Oryzias latipes: one gene and its partner. The protein of the gene in region 1 binds, or shares a complex with, the protein of each later gene. Links are inferred from orthologs where the notes say so. Each region holds a gene or a part of one and is shown in the gene's direction. Other genes may lie near its edges.

The links.
Region 2: emc10 (region 1) and emc9 share a complex: the UniProt entries of both Homo sapiens proteins name them as parts of the ER membrane protein complex. The link is inferred for Oryzias latipes from reciprocal best matches to the Homo sapiens genes EMC10 and EMC9.

What each region holds. Positions count from the first base shown.
Region 1 is NC_019866.2:3,432,574-3,438,176, reverse strand, and holds the end of emc10 (ER membrane protein complex subunit 10), read left to right. Parts: intron 1-341; coding exon 342-526; intron 527-1,634; coding exon 1,635-1,728; intron 1,729-2,193; coding exon of another isoform or gene 2,194-2,280; exon of another isoform or gene 2,281-2,291; intron 2,292-2,697; coding exon 2,698-2,799; 3' UTR 2,800-2,982; downstream 2,983-5,603. UniProt on the Homo sapiens protein: Part of the endoplasmic reticulum membrane protein complex (EMC) that enables the energy-independent insertion into endoplasmic reticulum membranes of newly synthesized membrane proteins.
Region 2 is NC_019878.2:23,618,672-23,625,107, forward strand, and holds the end of emc9 (ER membrane protein complex subunit 9), read left to right. Parts: intron 1-57; coding exon 58-127; intron 128-197; coding exon 198-292; intron 293-4,057; coding exon 4,058-4,238; 3' UTR 4,239-4,438; downstream 4,439-6,436. Other genes in the region: irf9 (interferon regulatory factor 9), read right to left, coding at 5,468-5,635, 5,855-5,970, 6,057-6,436. UniProt on the Homo sapiens protein: Part of the endoplasmic reticulum membrane protein complex (EMC) that enables the energy-independent insertion into endoplasmic reticulum membranes of newly synthesized membrane proteins.

The sequences.
Region 1 (5,603 bases):
AAAATGCCTTTTAGAAAGAGGTTAAAAGTTACAAAAATGCTGTTGTAATGTAGAGGAAGAGATTGAAAGGTTTTAGTTAGATATATGTGATTACCTTGATGTTTTTTCCTCTATCTTTTGAAATATCCCATGAGTTTTTTTTCATTCTTCAAATCAAAAAGTTCTTATCATTTTTGGTAGATTTAAGTTCTAAGCTTAGCTGAGAAAGTTTGTCTGAAGGCCATCACCTTTCAGGCTGAACTACAACTAGAGAGGAAATTTATGTTTAGCTTTAACTAGCTGGTACACTTCAGAGGTTACATCGTGGTAAGGTTGGCCTGCTTCTCCTCTGTGATCCTCAGTGTGCCATGGTTGAGTCCCACCTGAGTGACGTGATCACGCTCCACACCGACGTCTCCGGATACCTCATCGGCGTTTCCATAGTGACTTTACCTGGAGCCTGCAGGGGAATCGAGGTGGAAGACGAAGTTGATCTTGAGGTTTTCAACACCACGCTCAGCATCATGGCTCCAGTCAACGCACCAGGGTCAGTCCTGGTTTCTTTTTTTTTAGTTTTTCTTTTCTTATTTATATTAAAAAATGTCTTTTTCTGGAGCCGATGCTATCTGCTGTATTGCCACAAGCTCAGGGTTGTATATTTGACCACAGCTACCACTCTTATCTGCTTGTCTTGACACACATATGAACTAATGCAGCATTATCTAGAATAACTGTTTAAAATCATTGTGGCGCTAGAAACAGAAAAGTCAAAACGCCACAAGATTCCTAAATGTACAAAACCAAGCAAAAGCAGCTGCCTTAAAGATGTATTTCAATAGAAGTTTTTCAACAAGCATTTCTCCTTATGTTTGATAAATTCAAGTTTAATTTCCTTTACAATAACATGAACACTTCTTTGTTGTATTAGGTCTGATCATCATTTTATCTATTTTCAAAGCGTTCTTCAAAGACAGACTCTGATGAAAATCTTGTTTTGGTGTTTTTAACATGTTCTAATGGCATTTTCCTGATTATGGAGGACATGTATAAAGACAATTAAGCTTAAAACTGCATTCCTGCATATTTCTTTATTCATATAAGGAATCAGGAGCAGACAAACGAATGCCATGTGATGAAGAGTTTATTTGTGTTAATTTTGCTCCATTCTAAAGCATCCACTTGCAGACAAATGGGTCCATAAACGTCTTTGTTTTCCCCGTCTGCGCTGGAATCTTGACCCAAACTGTATGGCTGGATTGCTCTCCACTGTTGTTGCATGGATTATTAAGATAGCATGAGAGTTAGAGAGATGGATGATGGTAAGTAGGGGCAGGCTCACCCCGTGACAACAGTTCTGCCTACCACATTTTTAATGGACTCCTGCCACTGCAGAAAACTGTCCTAGAAAATGACAGGTTTTTGGTTTTTGGCTAAAAACGTGTCATTAATTTATTTCAAAAACGTTTAAAATTATGATGACAAGACCACCGTGAATGCTTTGAAAATAGATCAGAAGACGATCCTTTGGAAGTGCTCAGCTGTATAAATATTTGGGGGAGTCCTGTTTTCCTGACGTCTTTGGTCTTCTCACGTTTATCAGGACTTGTGGAACAAGTCTTTTCCTTCTTTGAATACTGATGAGAACTTTCCCGCAGACCTGAGACGGCGCTCTTCATCCAGCGAATGGAGCAGGAGTTTGAGAAGAAAGGCAAAAATCCACAGGAGCAGAAGTCGTTCTTCGCTAAATATGTAAGTGTTGCACCTCAAGACTGCAGTTTATCGCCATCAGTCTGACCTTCATGTCCACAGAGATGGTTGCTTTAACCTCCTCTGTTTTAACTTGTCTTTGTAACAATGCTTTCAAACCTCTTGTGTAGTCAATTTGGTTGACATCAAGGCAAATAAAGTCTTTCTTTTTTTTTTATGCTAGTTTAGCATCTGTGTCCATAACTTAACAGCAGTTTAGTTTTGGGTGGTTTTTTTTTTTCCTTTGCCTCATCTCAGCCCTGCCTACTATCGCTGAAGGGTATTTTCTTGCTTTAGAGCTGCTGTAACGTTCAGTTTTGTTTGACACGGTCGTGTGGTCCTGTGTTTTCATTGGAGGCGTATGGACCGTGTCCCCTCTCTTGGCTCGGCTGAGCTCCTCTCTGTCTTGTTTGGTCGCGTGCCGTGTCCCCTGTCGCTGTGTTGACTTGATACTGTGGTGTGTTGCAGTGGTATTTGATTCTGGGAGGTGCTATCTTCCTCATGGTCTCCAATTCGGCCCAGCCCCCAGCAGGGGGAGGCAGAGAGCAGAGCTGATACCCACTGAAGTACAGTCTTCTTACTTGTGGCTCACCTGTCCTCCTCCTTCTTCAGTGTTTGTGACTAACTTCTTTACAGTGTGAATAACTAACGCCTCCCTGCTTGATTTACTCTTTTTCATTGGGGTGTTGTATTTTGGGTCAAATGCTAATTACATCTCAGGGTGGTGAATGAAATGATAAAATTGTAAAAATTCTTTCGATGAGGTTCCGATCAGTTCAGAAACGTCTTGTGTTTGTTTGGGTTTGACCCTAAAACTTAATTCTGCTTTTCCTCGTCTGCTCGTTTGTCCTCTTTTAGATTTAACAGAATCAGGAACTCCTTATAGAAACCTATTGATCACACTTCATCCTAAAAACCAAATATGCTGTTGTATTCACCTTTCTTCCTTCTCTTCCCTCCTCCCACCCACAGTGGATGTACATCGTCCCTCTGGTTCTCTTCCTGATGATGTCTGGCGCTCAGGATCAATCTGGAGGTGGAGGCGGTGGCGGGGGTAACGGCGGCGGGCGATGATCAGGATCAGGCCCATTTCTTTTTTTTCTTAAACATATAATGAACGGCAAAGCGCTTTGATTTCTGTACGTGAGGTTATTTAAGAACGATAAGTGTCTGTAACACGACTTAAACCTGATTCATCAAGGACTGCATTCATTTTTCCTACTAATGTGAGAATAAAGTATTTATTACACAGATGAACTTGACTCACATCATCCTTACAGTGAAAAACTGGGATAAGGGCCACCATCCCTCTTATTTAAAAAGGTTGGTGGGCTTTAGGGTAGCTCAGAAGTGTCAAAAAATATCACATTTTATAGGATAAACTTTCACCAACTAAACTTGGTGAAAGTTCATCCTTCAGTGAGCATTAACTGTGAACCAAATAATCGATCGAGTACTGGGAGTAACAGCAGGATCGGCTGACAACAAAACATTGGTCAAAAAGGTCTAAATCCCATCGGAATGTAAATAATCCGTTTTTTGTCCTGTTGTCTCTCTACTGGCTTTACCTTTTTATGCACATGTGATGCATTGATTTATGAAGACCCCCTTTAATTTCCTGTTTACAAGACGATCCTCATTTTGTTGCGCAGCAGTCCTGGACTGAAAGGACCAGATTTTCACGATTCTTTTCCCTTGGTGCACCTTTTAAGTGAAAGGAAGTTTGGAAATTACTACGGGATGGTCACATGACCTGCAGCTTGGTGGCCATTCTGTTGCAAAGTGGGAAATTAGCCGATTTTACCGTTGTTGGACGAACTGGAAAAGAAAATTAGTTCGAGTGATTTTCACAAAATGTCCCACACACACTGCCAGGCTAAGTCTACAGCCACAACCCAAATTTCATTGACCTTTGACCTCAGGAAGAGGCTTCCATCTTGAATTTCCTCAAGCATCATTGGGAAGCTAAAGCGTTGGAATTAGAACTTGTATATTTTGAATGGCGTTAGCATGGCGAGCTTCCAAAAGTGGCGTTCCCCTGTTGCTCGCACATTTTTTACCGGAATGTTGTGAAAATTGAATCTATGAGTAGCCTGCGTCAGACTGGCAACCCATCCAGAGTGTCCCCCGCCTTCGCCCACAAGTGGCTGGGATAGGCTCCAGCAGCCCTGTGACCCTGAAAGAGACAAAACGGAGGAAGATGAATGAATAATCTGAGTCGTTGGCTCGAGCTAAAAAAAATGATATGACATACGATATGAACCTATCAGATATGTGGCTGTGGTTAATTTAAAAGAAAAACCTCAGTTGCCAAGGAAATCCAACAGTTTAACTTTGCAGATTCTTCTAAAACGTGCACAGGACTGTTCGTCACGCCCTGGTGACCAAAAAGTTAAATGGTTGCTATGGAGATAAAACCAACAAAAGAGCTGCCCTTTTGAAAAGTAATTTTTGTCACATGCAGCTCTGACCAAGGGTAGCAGAGACAGAAGAGAGAAGGGCCTGAAGCCAGTTAGGGCAGGTAAAACCAAATGGGGTAATGGGGGCGTGGCGGGGATAATGGCGAGTGTGGGTGGCGCCACTTGCAGCTTTAATTTTTGATGTCTTTGGTTTTTATTTTCAAGACGAAACGCGAAATTTCCAGCTAATGTGGACTTTTCCTCCACTGTTTGTATTTTTAAGTATGAGTCAGGGAGGTCACAGTCTCACAGCAGCACGGCCCCCTGAAACAGGATGTCCTAAAATCCCTGTGTCAACATTGCAACTCCTCTTCCTCCTGTCAATCACCCAGTCTGGCTGTTTTTAGTCAGCACCTCCAACTGCGAGGAAAATCCTCTCATTGTGGGAGGCTCAGTTCTGAAGTGCAGCTCATCCAATCGGCAGAAGGCCTTTTCTGAGAATGACACGCCCCGTCCCGGACTGCGAGCGTCCCACACATCCCTCCTGCTGTGTGGCTGAAGAACGTGAAGCGTGAGATGGTGATGACAGCTGAGGGGAAGGAGAGATGGAGTGAAATCAACCGCATGACAAAAGTCATCCGTTTGTAAAGAGATCTGCCTCTGCCAGGTGGGTGGGGGGGGGGTGGGGGGGGGGGGGGCAATCAGCTCATCAAAAATAAGGCAACGATAGAAACAATCGGTCACATCCTGAGATCATTTCTGAGGGAGGGTCCAGGTTTTTCATCCAAAAACTAAAGCTGAGTGACCTTTGAACTGTTTCTTTGGGTCCAAATATAAAAATGTCAGTAGGTAGTTTCTTAGTAAAAGGGATATTTGGGTGGTGGTTTGCCATATTTTGAAGGATTTCTTATGATATTGAAATAATACGGTTATTGTCATTCACTGTAAACTCTACAATTTAATTTCTACCAGCTTTTGCAGCAGCAAGCTGCATGTGAAAGTTCTCCAAAAGAACAAAGAGTTGTTCTCTCTATTTCAATAAATACCCTGTTAAATGCCAGAAACAGACCGAAGTCTCCTGCAGGCTTTGTAAGTCATAAAGTAATGCCATGTGCACCAAATATCTATATTTTTTGTACATTTTTAAGCTTTGTGGTGCAGAAAAAACAAAACTTCTATGCAGTACCATTTTTGCCAACAGAGATTTTTGTCAGTGGAGTCTGCTGCGTTGCTTTGCTGCAGAGAATGAGCCACACTGAAACTGAAAATAGTGTAGAAATGATTTGTTGTTGTTTTTGCAGCTCAACTGTTTAATGTTCTGACAAAAGTAGTCTGCATGTTTTTAAAAGCACAGGGTCATAAAAGGGAAATACTATAAGCTGTCCTGAACACAAATTGATGGCAGGAATGGATGTAGATGCATGTCATGAAGAGCTGCTAGTGTGACATCACCACAGGCAGGATGGCCTCCTTCTCTTT
Region 2 (6,436 bases), on another chromosome or scaffold:
TGCGGTTGGAAGAACATGGAGATCACTGGGTTTCTTCCCGTTTCTGACCCCCACCAGCCCGACGCAGTGCGCCCTGAAGATCTCGGACAAGATCGCCGAGCAGTTTGACGGCGCCGTTCTGTTGATGGTAAGAGAACGCCGCCTGTGCATTTGCAGCAGAGCAGAGGACTGACCGTCTGCTCTGGTTCCGTCAACAGCTGGACGGCAGCAAGATGCCTCCGGACTATCGGGTTCCTCCCATCGTGATGTACGAGCGCAAAGACTCCAGGTGGATCCTGAAGGACAAACACATGTAAGTCTGCTTCTCTGTCAGCTTCTAGGAGCAGGAAGGAATTTTGGAGAATGATGCTCTCAAACCAATTTGATGAATCCTTTCTATGGATTCAATTAGAGATCCATGAGATTAGGTTTGATTCCCAGGCAGGACGTTTAGCTTTATCTAAAGGCCTTCACACTACTGCCCAACTATGTAGCCACAAGTCTGGGTCCCCCTGTGCCGGTCCCCAGCCCGGATAAGGAAGGTGTCAGGGAGGTGAGGTTTGAAAGCTAACAGAACGCAGTCGCAGCATCGCGTCGGCACTGCTGCAGCTTCTCCTGGGGGTGTTCAGAGATGGAAGGAGGTGAGGAAGCGGCGTTTCCGTTTGAACCAGCTCAGCGTGGCTCGTTCTGCCTCCAATCACATTTTGAGGAGTTTCTACTTTGGCTTCAGCCTTCCAGAACCTCCTCGCTGACAGTTTCCAGCCGAAGCGGACCCCATGCGTGGACTGGAGGGCCGGGGGGGGCCAAACGTTGTCAGATGTAGTGGCAGATGTTTGTTTTGTCCACTTTACTACAGTCGGGTTCTACTCAATCGTGACGCTACGTTCCCACTTGACGCGTGTTCTTGATGGTGTTCACACTGCAGGAGCAGGGAGGGGCTTCTTCTTCTATTGTTTTTACTAGCGCATGTCCCCCCCTCCTACAGTCAGGAGAGTCTTGGTGTGAAATGTCAAAGCGGTTGGTGTCCTAGAATTCCAAACCACAACTATTCATTTCTCCTCCATGATTAATTTTCACTTCCGTGAATTAGAGGGGACGCCGTCCACACGTCACTGCCGAATCCCAGTCCCTGATTGGTCAAAGTTCAACTGGTTTACTTGCAAAATTTTGTACGAAGACACACAAGCGTGATAGGTTTGAACCCGGGGGCCCGACATGCGGGTTTACATAGATTGGAATATATAAGGCGGAGTTGTACGCTTACAACCAGATCTTATGCAGAACAAGGGAAAGGTACTTCTCTGAAATAATTGGAAGTTGCAGCAGCAACTCTCGTATCCTGTTCACAACAGTAAACAGATTAACTAACCCTCCAACCCAGCTACCAATAGAATTGGTTTGTACACCTAAATGTAATGAGTTTGCTGTATTTTTTAATGACAAGGTTCAGGGCATTAAAAAAGCCATCAACTCCACAACACATATAACTATCCAACGGCCACCTACTCACTCTAAGCTGACTCACTTTGTACCTGTCACTGACCAAACTGTCCAAGAGACCATCACCCGTCTGAGCTCGTCTACATGCTGCCTTGATGTGTTACCCACTAGATTTCTAAAGTCTGTCCTGAACAGTGTGTCGCCATCAATTACTCAAATAGTTAACATGTCTCTTCAATCTGGAATATTTCCAGAGGCCTTAAAAACTGCAGTCATTAAACCTCTCATGAAGAAAAGCGGTCTTGATCCCACTGTACTGAATAATTACAGACCTATCTCTAATCTGCCACTTTTAGGAAAAGTCCTTGAAAAAGTTGTCTACCAACAGCTCACTGATTTTCTCTTATTAAACAATTCGTTTGATGTTTTCCAGTCAGGTTTTAGACCCCATCATAGCACAGAAACTGCTCTTATCAAGGTAACCAACGACATCCGCCTGAACACTGATGATGGCAAAGTCACTGTCTTAATCCTGCTAGACCTGAGCGCTGCCTTTGATACTGTTGATCATGGGATCTTTTTGCACAGACTCCAAGACTGGGTTGGCATCTCTGGATCTGCCCTAAGTTGGCTCAAGTCTTATCTAGAAGACAGGAAATACTTTGTTGAAATTGGGAGTTGTGTCTCAGACTACATGGCCTTGACTTGTGGTGTGCCCCAGGGATCGATCCTGGGACCCCTTCTGTTCAACCTCTACATGCTGCCACTAGGGCAGTTAATACGCAGTAATAACATATCTTATCACAACTATGCAGATGATACTCAGATCTATGTGTCACTGACAGCAGGTGAATATGGGCCAGTGGATTCACTCAGCCACTGCCTCCAACAGATCAGTGCGTGGATGCAGAACAACTTTCTCCAGCTAAACTCAGACAAGACCGAAGTTATTGTTTTTGGCCCACAGAAACAAAGAGAAATTGTCAGCAGCTACCTTCATTCTCTGTCTCTTAAACCCTCAAATCAAGTCAGAAATCTAGGGGTAATCATGGACTCTGACCTGAACTTTAACAGCCATATCAAGTCAGTAACATCAGCGGCATTTTACCATCTGAAAAACATTGCCAAAATCAAAAACATAATCTCAAAGCGAGACCTGGAGATACTTATTCATGCATTTGTCTCCAGTAGGTTAGACTACTGTAACGGCCTGCTCACCGGCCTCTCCAAACGAGCTGTAAAACAGCTTCACTACATCCAGAATGCTGCTGCTCGAGTCCTGACCAGAACCAGGAAGTATGATCACATTAGTCCTGTGCTCAGGTCTTTGCACTGGCTCCCTGTACCTCAAAGAATAGACTTCAAAGCAGCTCTGCTTGTGTACAAGTCTCTCCATGGCCGAGCACCAAAGTACATCTCTGACATGTTAGTGCCATATGAACCATCTCGTACTCTGAGGACCTCAGGGGCCGGCCTCCTGTTGATTCCCAGAGTCAGAACTAAACAAGGGGAATCAGCGTTTCAATATTCTGCAGCTAAAATCTGGAACAGCCTCCCTGAAGTCATAAGACAGGCCTCTTCTGTGTTCATGTTCAAATCTAGACTTAAAACATTTCTGTTTAGCCGTGTATATGACTGAAAGGTCCTATCTGCACTTTTCTTTCCTTCCTTTCTTTTTAAATCTTTTTTTTTCTTTTAAAGTAAATTTTATGTTGATTATTTCTATGATGTATTGTGATTTTAATGCATTTTTCTGTTTTGTGAAGCACCTTGAATTACTTTGTGTACGAATTGTGCTATACAAATAAACTTGCCTTGCCTTGCCTTCATTGAAAGCATCGCCATGTGAACGAAGCTTCATGAAGCCTCAACATTTCCAAAACAGGAAGTAGAGCTTTGTTGGGTCCACCTACCTATTATATAAAAAAAACACACCTAAATTCTTTTCTATAAACTCACAAAAAATAAAAGTAGGTGGAGCCTGCTGGCCCCCCACGCACAACGTTCAAAATGTTTGACAGTTACCTGCTGTGAGAGCCGAAAGCTTCGAGTAAATCAATGAAAATTAAAAAACGCTCAAAGTTGACATGGAAAACAGATGCTTTTATTCTGAAAGGTTCCATAAGTCAGTAGTTTAACTCCTAAGGTGAAAGGTCAGGCTGTCGCCTTGGGCTTTTTCTTGAAGAAGAGCCTCGTGTTGCATTCAGGGTCCACACTGTGGGTCACTATGCTGCGTTCAAGAACATCTTCTTGAAGTTGGAATTTAGGTTTCTTTCAAAGTAAAATCCCTTTTATTATTGAAGAAAAAACAACAACCTATGTGTCCTATGGGATGGAACAATCATACAAAAGGTGGCTGTGGCACAGAGGTTTGAAACAGGAAGAGGTTTGATTCCCGCCCTAAACACCCCCACATGTGCTCTTGAATAAGACACTGAACCTCACGCAGCTCTGTGATAATATATTTAAGAAAGTTCTGACCCGTTTAGGTGGTTCTGGGAGGAAGTGTGCATTAGAGACGCTGATCAGATCAATACCTGCAGCTGTTTACATTCCAGCATTGGTGCTGCGGCGGTGTTGGCCGCTACACCACGTGAAACCTGCATTCACCCCTGCCTCTCTGCTGCCCCCCCCCCAGGATCATGCTCCGACAGTGGGAGGAGACTCGGGCGATCGCCTCCCAGATGCTGGAGGCGGGCGATCACGCTCTATTGGTGGACTTTGACAGCCACTTGGATGACATCACAAAGGACTGGACCAATCAGAAACTCAACGCTAAGATTGCGGAGCTGTCCTCGCCCCCCAACGGGAACATTTAGCCCCGGAGGGGGCCTCCATTATTTCTGTGTTCAACCCACCCCCTCCCAAGCAGGGACATCTTTCTTTCAAAGGTGTGGGGGCCACAGACTGACCTGTTGGTACATCCCAGTCTTCCACCCCCCCCCTCTCCTGAGTTTGCTTGTGGTCCAGTCCCGCCCCCACCCGACCAAACTAACTTAAAGTCACTTTTAACCCTGCAGCTCTTGTCTTGTGGTTTTTCACACGCACAAAGACAAATACACGCGCATGTGCACAAACACACAGAGGGTCGCACACATACAGAAATACACGCACAAAAATGTGCAAACACACAGACGTACACAAACAACTACACGTGCACACATATATGCAAACACACAAACGTGCACTTGCGCATAGATTTGCGCACACACAGATACACATTCAAGTACACATGTGCACACACCCAGACATATACACGCACATAGACATGCACACGTTAAGCGCACACACTCACAGACAAATGAACGTGCACACATATGTGCAAACAAATACACGTAAACGTGCACTCACTCAAGCATATGTACACACACGTGCAGTTGTACATAGACGTACAAACAGACGTGCATGTTAACGTGTGCACACACACACGTGCACAGAGCTTGTCCTTCAAACAGGAGGTGTCCCTTCCACAGACAGGTGAGTTTGCAGCTCCAGCTGGAAAACGAAGACGATGTGATGAAGCTGCAATCCGTCTTTTTCACTTTGGAAACCTTCGATCCTCCGTGGATCCACCTCCTCCACGGATGAGTTCTGCTGCCTTTACATTTCAAACGGGAACGTTCGTGACTTTAATCCCGAACATTTGCAGTGGAACACGTGGATGAAACTCAGGAAAGTCCGGTGAGCATCTTCATCTCACAGAGAAGACGATTGGACGGATTTACCGACCAGAACATCTGATCATCAGGAATGTGAAGCTCTAAGCTTCTGAGGAGAATGTGGAAGCAGGAAGTCACACTCCAGATCCCAAAATAAAAGTTTGAACTTGTTTTTTTCCTCCATCTTCTGAGGAACGTTCATGTATACAACGTTCCTTCAGTCTTAGTGTTTCCTGATCTGAAAACCTTCAGTTCACTTGATTTTTGGGGTTGAAGGTTCAAACTTGGCGTAAAGGTGAAATAGAAGTGCTGGAGATGTTTGTGCAAAAACTCCTTAGAGCAAAACCTTCTGGTTGCTCGTCCCCCCCCTCCCTCGGCGGCGCTCCCGGTCAGACGGAGGGAGATGTTGGTGGCTCCTGAGCTGCTGCCGGCACCGACACCAGGTTCAGGGTGATCTCCCCCAGCGGAGACTGACTAGCCAGAGTCTGGAGCACGGAGATGGACTGAAAGATGGAGAGGGCGTTCTGGACCTGCTCCTCCGCCCAGGGAATGGAAACCTGCAGAGGAGGTGTAGACATGGAGAGGATGCTGAGGAGGAGGAGGAGGAGGAGGAGGAGGAGCAGGAGCAACACCTGAGCCTAAAAGCAGGCCAGTTCTGACAACCCCTTCATCTAAAAAATACTACAGAATGTGAAATGGGTCAGAAATAACAGCATGGTTCTGGTTCTGTCTGTGTGTGTGTGTGTGTGGGGGGGGGTCTGAGTGGACCTCCTCACCGTGGCGGTGATCAGTTTGGTGCTGGGGTCCTCTGTGTGAGACAGCTCCTCCCCAAAGCACAGAGTGAAGCTGCACTGGGGGGGCTCGCCCCCGCTGGTCCGGAAATGATCCAGTTCTGCTCAGACGGGAGGGAGGGGGGGGTTAGGCAGACAGAAACATGAGCACCAACCCCCCTCCCCCCCATTGGACAGTGGGACTCACGCTGCCTGAAGATGTCTTTACTGAAGAGCAGCACCGGCTCCGTGTTCCGCTCCATGCGCTGCAGACCCGCTTCACAGCCATGCGGCCCGGTCCAAAAGACCCGCCCCTGGCAGAACCTCTTTCCGTAAACGCCCTGCGGTTGGGAGGTCAGCACCACCCCCCTCTCCATGAAGGGCAGCAGGGTGAAAATGGCTTGGCGCTGCTGGCCGGCGGGCAGCGTGGGGGGTGGCTCCGGCAGCAGGATCCGCGGGAAGCTCTTGTTCAGGGCGGCCGGCGTCGGCGGCAGGGCGGACGACGGCTGGTACAGGATCCTGACGTCGGAGCCGTGGATCTGCCGCCGGGCCACCTCCTGCCCCAGATACTGAACCGCCACCACGATG